2 linked regions of the Canis lupus familiaris genome follow. The protein of the gene in region 1 interacts with the protein of each later gene in a pairwise test. Links are inferred from orthologs where the notes say so. Each region holds a gene or a part of one and is shown on either strand. Other genes may lie near its edges.

Region 1 (4,249 bases):
AATTTATTACATTTTTAATGTAAGAATAGGTAATTGAAATACATGCTTCGTGTTCTTTTTCTCTCCCTCCTTACTATCTCCTTTTGTGTTCTCATTAATCACAATTTCAGCGTATCTCTATTCCAAGAACACTCAAATCTGGCTGACTCCAGCTAACCTTTACATTCCTGACTCAGATCTTAAAATGCCAGTAGGATGCCTTCCAGTTTCCAGCTTCTCCTGGTCATAATTTCAACACATCCCAAACTGAAATCCAAGTCCCTCAAAGCTGTCCTCACTGCTCTCCCCATTCCATTGGCATCACCACCATCGCCCCAGGCTGAAAACCAGTCTCTACACATTGAGTCCAGCCGATCCTTCCTCGGAAGCACCTGGTGCTGCCATCCCCTCCCCTTTCATTCTCCTATTACCTTTACTTACATTCACGACTACAATAATGTCCTGACCTTCGCCGGGTTTTTACTGGTTTTTACTGGTTTGTCTGCCATTCGGTGAACATTTGAGCACGTCATTATTTTCCTGGCAAAACGCTAATCCCGGAATAAAAGACACAGCCTCTACCTCCTGGAAAGCCATGGTCTTCGCAAACTCAAGTCACCGCTGACTGCTCGGGCTTTTCCTAGCCACCTCGTCCTCCACGGCCAGGACTGCCCTTCTAGGGAGGCACATTTCCCAAGTCACGGTGCATACGCCATCCTACAACTCCTGTCCGGACGAAGGAAACTCCTTTGTGCTCCAGACTATTCGTGGGAGAGCGAGCCCGACCCTCAGCGCCCACCGGGTCCTTCTCCGGCTCTCGCCGCCCCCCCCTCCCCGTGCCCACCCCGGGGGCAGAGGCCCCGTCCCCACAGCCCCAGCGAGCCCGCCCCCACCTGGCGTCCAGGCAGCAGGGCCGTCCGAGTCACCGAGGGGCACCTGCGCCCCCGAGGCACCCCGAGGCACCCCGAGGCACCCCGCAGGCGCCGGATACCAGCACGTCCTCCTGCTCTTCAGCGGAGGAAACAGCTCAAGGATGTTGCTCAGCAAAGACGCGGCTCTCCCGACCGCACAGGCTCCCGAAGCCGCAGAGCCCGACCCGCCGGCAGCCGAGCGGGGCTTTTGTAGGAACGCGGTCCCGCCTCTCTAGGATCCCGCCGCCACCACCCCGCGCAGGCGCGGCGCGAAGCCCAGAGCGCGCCGCTCGTCTCCGTGGGCCCTTTCCATCAGCAACGGGATGGCAAAGCCGAGACCCTTTTGTGAGGCTCCTCTCGGGCTTCTGGTTAGACGATGAAGGAACAAGTACAATATGGCAAGCAGCACAAATTCCTAAAATTTAAATATGCAGGTGATACTATTCCCAATAAAAATTCAATTTGCATAGAGACCATAAATGAAGAATGCCCCATCCCTAAAGTTAACCATTGTTAATATCGTGTATGGGTTTCCCAGCACACTATCAGCCACGTAGTAGCACCCAATCAATCAACGTTTGTTTACTGAACGTTTATGGGATCACAACATGAATTTGCATCTCAGCCTTTTCTGTTACCTTGGAGATCTTTCCATACGAATTTATTTAACAGCCTAATAGTTTTCCATTGTATGGATGCACCACAGTTTACTCAACTATCCTACTGTTTTATAGTACACGTGTACACATATATATGTGTATATGCGCACATATATATATACACATACACTAAGTAATGCTGCAGAGAACATTTAATAGCTTTACATGCTCTTATAACTCCAGGTTAACTACTACACATTAGAATTGATCTGTCAAAGAGCATGTGCGTTTAAAATTTTATATACAGAACCCCTATTTTGAAGGGCAGTGCTGTTTAAAAGCAGAAGAATCTAAGAGAAAAATCCAGAAAAAAATGTAAGTATGGCTGTTCACAAAATCAGAATTATAAATGACCAATTAACATCCAAGAGACCAACGCTGACAGCAAAAATATTCTTTAAAAACCGCTTAAAATACTTATTTTGTATCCACCAGAATGTCATATATGCAAAAGGATAATTCCCAGGTTTGATGTAGGCATGGAAAAATGGGCATTTTCAGACTAACAGAAGGTACAGATTAGTATAACCATCCTGGAGGGCAATCTGGAAAATGAATCAAAAAGCCTTAGAAAAATGTGCCTACCTCTTTGTCTCATTAATTTTAGTCACAGGAATTGAATGAAGGAAAATTCTACAAAGTGAGCAAAGCTGTATGTCCAAGGATGTTCACTGAAATACTGTTTATGGTGACAAACTATAAACTAAAATGACTAATGGTAGGAACATGTACCACAGAATGTTGAGCGACCTTTCTTAGAAATTGTCTTCAATGAAGACTTTTAGTTATCTGGTGTCTTAATCAGGGCTTTCTTTTATTTGCTGGCAAGGAAACAAGGGCATTTCTTGGACTCCCAGGACCCACTGGGAATATAGTGGACCTCAGGAGAGGAGGGTCAGAGTCACTTCTCCAGAGTCTCTGAGTCTTCATTCTTTTACTTCTCACTGGGCTGGTTTGTTTCTATTTGGTTTTCATAAGACCACAAAAATGGTTCCAGCTCTAGATTAGTTTCTTGTTCAAATGCCTAACGAAGACCAAACAGAATCTGTGATCCAGTATGAAACTTCTGGGGGTATCCAAATGACCAAGCCTGGCTAAGAGGTCCCCCACCCTGGTCTAATGCTCAGTGGTCAGAGAAGGGTCACATGGCAAGCTGCCCACTCAGGATCGTGGCAGAAATGATAGAATGGACTTGGGCAGACAGGCAAATTGTCCTTTTCTTTTACAAATCAAAACTGTTAATGATATGAAGTCCAGTGAGAAAAGTGAAGTGTTTCTATGCATAAAAAAGATCAGTATCTCAGAATACATTAAGAGATTATGTCTAGACCACGCAGCAGGATGATTTAGTTTTTTTTTTTTACATGTTTTCAGGTCTTTACAAAGTATATGAATTTCTATAATAAATATAATGGGCAATTATATATTAAAATTAAGCAGAAATTATCAGTACTAATCACGATTCATTTGATTGTCATATATATACATGTATGCACGAATGTATACATGCATACATGCATGTATATACATGCATATACATACATACACTAAACAATGATTATTTTTGACAGGTGAAAATTAGGATGCTTTATTTTTTCCTTTCCTGTTTCTCCATACTACATGAATTAACGGCACATTTACTAATAACTGTATCAGTTTTTTAAACAGGAGTGAGCAGGAAATGTTCTTTTTTGAACATTACAGGATACTATCCCAACAGAAAAGCTGATCAGTAGAAGATACTTCACAATACAGCTCATCCTTTCTGGGCTGCTATCCTCTGAATAGACTTACAGCTTTCCTTTTAGGGCACCTAACAAGTGTTGCATTGCAAGCAAAACCTTCAAGATCTGTTATAACATTTGCCCTTTGTTCAATGTTTCTATAATCTTTGAGAAATAGAGAAGAAAAGCACATTATCAAAATATACCTATATCCAGGGGTGCCTGGTTGGCTGTCGGTTAAGAGCCTGGCTCCTAGTTTTGGCTCAGGTGATGATCTCAGGGTTCTGGAATCCAACCCTGAGTTGGGCTCTGCGCTGGGTGTGGGGCCTGCTTGAGATTCTCTTCCCCCTCTCCCTTTACCCCTCCCTGCCCCCATGCTCTCTCAAAAAAAATTTAAAATATTCCTGTATCCAACATATATGTTCAAGTGGTTATGAGTGCGCCCCCAGGGCACCGATGAGAAGACAATTTCCTTTGGGACTGTGAGAGGGAGTAGGCTAGTTAAGGTGTCCATGAATTTAGAACACTTATAATGTGTGTACTATAGAATCATCACAAAGAAAGCTAAATTTTCCAGTTATTGAAGGGTATGTCATTCTTCATGCTTTGACTCTTGTCATTGTCATTTATTTTTCATGAGAAAAATAAAGACATTCTGTTCTTTCCTTCTTAAATGGAACAGAATCAAACAGATTTAAACTATGACTCAGAGCTGAATGATAGGTACTGACTTCAGCACAGCCATCAAAACACTTGGGGGAAAATCTTCAATACCAACTTAATTTTATCCATCAAGGCAGAATAAAAGAAACACAGCTTTATGACCCCGTAAGGAATGGAATATGACTGTTCCATGAAATTCTTTAGTGTCTCAAAAAGTTGCTCTGCCTCTACAGATTTGGTCCTCCTCCAGGAAACAGTATTTTTTTTTTTTATTTTTTTTAATGATAGTCACACACACAGAGAGAGAGAGGCA
Region 2 (3,138 bases), on another chromosome or scaffold:
AGAGTAGCTCTAGCAATGTAAAAATCCGTTAGTTCACACTGGCTCTACTTAAATCCTAGGGGCCTAAAATATGACAAGAAAGGGGAGTTTGGGGTTTAAACCAGAGCTCAGAAAGAGCTATCTGTAAAGGCCTGCACTAAAAGACTTCCTAAAATAGCCCTATGGCATGGGTCTTTTGGGAAGCCTGTGCCCAAAGGCAGGCCCGTGTAACAAGTTGGTGGCCCAACCTGTATAGAGGTAGCCAGTTAAGCACTTTAAGTGGAGTCCGCTTTCTCCCTGCCACAACCATATCCACTATCTTTTACGGAGGGGGGACAAATTCACATTCTAGTGAAAGGTAGGGGCAAAAAAAAAAGGTAGGAACCCAGCCTGCTAAAGTCCTTTACGTAGACTCCCAACTAAACAAAGGAATCCCAAGTGGGTCCTGTGGGAGGGAGCAGGAGAAAATTTTCCAGACGTGGAGGCCCAGGCCTAGCCAACACGTAAATGATCCCACAAAAGCCAACAAATGCCAAGTGAACAGGAAACAAAGGCTTTATTCTCATGGGTCCCAACGCGGGTTTTGCCACCAGCCAAAAAGGAGATTGGAAGGGAAAAGGCTCGGGAAAATACACCTAGTAAGGGACGAACGAAAAGGGGCACATCAGACGCTGGAGCTGCCAAAAACTCATTTTTCATCAACAACGGAGAGCCTGGCTCAGGCCCCTGGACCCGATCGTGGCCCCAGCTCAGAGAACGCCGGGGCCCCGCCGCCCGCAGCTGCGCAGCTCAGCCCGTGATGCGCACATCGGTGCGGCGGCGAAGCCGCCGGGCCCGCGCCGCCTCAGGCAGGATGGCCAGCAGCTGCTCCTGCACCAGCATCTCCACGATCTGCTCCTTCGTGCGGATGTCGGGTCGCAGCCACTGGCGGGAGAGCTCCCGCAGCTGCCGGAACGCCTCCCGCGGACCTGCGGCGTCCTGGTAGCGGAACTGCCGGAAACGCTGGCGGAATGTCTCCGGGCCGGGTCGGGAGCCGCCAGAGTGTGGGGGGGAGCGCGGAGCGGCTTCGGCAAGCGGCGGGGAGCTCAGGGCTGGGGGCCCCACGGGCAGCTCCAAGGGCGCGGAGGCCGCCGCAGGGGGCGTACGAATTGCTTCGGTGGCTGCGGCGTTGGCACTGGAGGATTCGGGGGCAGGTGGTGCGGCCTTAACGGTCGACGAGGAGCCCGCAGAATTACGCTCCGAGCCTGAACCCAGGCCGGCTCCTTCCTCCTTCTCTGGCGGTAGCGCGAGGCCCCCAGCAGCCGCCAAGCTCGGCTCCGTCGCCGCCATGACTCCAAGCTCTGGACGTCACTCTTTGTCCCGCAGCTGTGGGCTCAGCACTGCGTCTGCGCACGGGCCGGCTGAGGAGGGAGGCGTTCAGCGCGTTAGGGCAGAGCCCGCGGGGCCTCCCGGGCGGCGGACGGGGGCGGGCCGACAGCAGACCAAGCTTACCTGCACCGGGACAGGGCCTGAGCGCGCCGGAAGCGGAAGTCTCCATTAGCTTCTATGATGAGCTCGGCGCCAGAGCGCCCGGAAGCCGAATGCCCGCTCCCGGTAGCGGCGCCCCCTCGCGTTAGCGAGCCGCGTCAGGGGGCGGCTGTGGCCGGGGCGCGGGGGCGGGGGCGGGGGCGGGGGCGGGGGCGGGCCTATCTAAGCGAGCCCTGGGCTCCTCTTCAGTATGCTCCCTTCCAGGACCGGTTCGAGGAATCGGAGTCCGAGTCCGAGTCCGAGGAGGGTGAGGAAGAAGAAGAGGAGGAAGAGGAGCAGGAAGAAGAGCTGGAGGAGAAGGAGCGCCGAGGGGTCTTCGCCCACTTTGCCCGCTCCGGGCCGCAGGTGATCTGCACGTCCCGCTGCGTGCGCGCCTCCTTCCTGGCCCCTGACTGGGACGGTGGCGAGCCACGGCTTCGCTGGGGCGGGACGGCGGGACGAGGTCGGGCTCCGGGGAAGTCCTCTTTCTGTCAAAGGAGATAAGCAGGGGCACTCGCCTCGTTTCGAGAATGACAAAATCTAACGTGTGAAGGTCCTCAACAGACACAGTAAGACTCGCCTCTCCCATGGCACAAAGTATATGCTCAACAGCTGTGTGCCATTGTTATTTGGGCCGCGTCCTTTGAAACCAAGGGACAGGTGCCTCTTTGGGTTCTGCTTTTAACATTAAAATTAGACTCTAAATGCCCTGTGCCGTATGGCGGCCGCTAGCTCCGTGGGCTTACTGAGTCCTTTGAAATGTGGCTAGTCGGAATGGGGATGTGCTGTAATGTAAAATATACCCAAGCTTTGGTACAGCCGGTAATAGATCTCAATGTCTTTTATATTGATTACATGTTAGATTGGTAATATTTTACATGTGTCGGGTCAAATAAAGTCTATTATTAAAATTAACCTGTGTCATTTTTTTTTAAAGATTTATTTATTTATGATAGAGAGAGAGAGAGAAAGAGAGAGAGGGGCAGAGACACAGGAGGAGGGAGAAGCAGGCTCCATGCCAGGAGCCTGACGTGGGACTCGATCCTGAGACTCCAGGATCGGGCCCTGGGCCAAAGGCAGGCGCTAAACCGCTGAGCCATCCAGGGATCCCTAACCTGTGTCATTTTACTTTTCAAGTGTGGCTACTAGAAAAATTTATATGTATGGTTTGCATTATGTTCCTGTTAAGCAACACGGTGCTACCGCTTTGGAGTCAGGCTGCCTTGGTGGACTCCCCATTTCAGGGTTTATTTGCCTTAGGCCAGACTTGTTGAGAGGATTAAAGCAGTAAAGCCCTTTGAAGGAAAGGGTTTTTTTTAAAAATATGTTTGCTGTTGTCTTCATTCGATAAACTGCTATCTCTGAGTGGCAGGTTTTTTTTTTAGAGCTGTAAAATGTGGAGATAATACAATTTACCTCAGAAGTTAGGAGAGTTCAGCGAGATGATACAGATGAAACCTCGTACCTCTTGACAGCTGACTCACAATTATGCTTTATACTGCCATTGGTAGATAGGGAAGCTAAGACCCAAAGAGAGAGAGAGAGACAGGGGACCCATATGAAAGGTTTTGTCTGAGCTTTGTGCAGAAGGAGTGGGTCTGTTTAACAACTTGCAATACACCAGCAGCCCTGATATAAAACTTGCCTTCTTAA

The links. The genes of interacting proteins can lie anywhere in the genome.
Region 2: the proteins of PGBD1 (region 1) and SCAND1 interact in binary tests that used the Homo sapiens proteins (3 or more experiments, as listed by UniProt). The two-hybrid records come from large-scale screens. The link is inferred for Canis lupus familiaris from reciprocal best matches to the Homo sapiens genes PGBD1 and SCAND1.

The regions. Positions count from the first base shown.
Region 1 is NC_049256.1:26,902,368-26,906,616, reverse strand, and holds the start of PGBD1 (piggyBac transposable element-derived protein 1), read right to left. Parts: upstream 2,876-4,249; 5' UTR 873-2,875; intron 1-872.
Region 2 is NC_049245.1:25,383,729-25,386,866, forward strand, and holds SCAND1 (SCAN domain-containing protein 1), read right to left. Parts: upstream 1,628-3,138; 5' UTR 1,573-1,627; coding exon of another isoform or gene 1,525-1,572; 5' UTR 1,471-1,524; exon of another isoform or gene 1,380-1,470; 5' UTR 1,309-1,379; coding exon 769-1,308; 3' UTR 517-768; downstream 1-516. Other genes in the region: CNBD2 (cyclic nucleotide-binding domain-containing protein 2), read left to right, coding at 1,525-1,572, 1,696-1,851. UniProt on the Homo sapiens protein: May regulate transcriptional activity.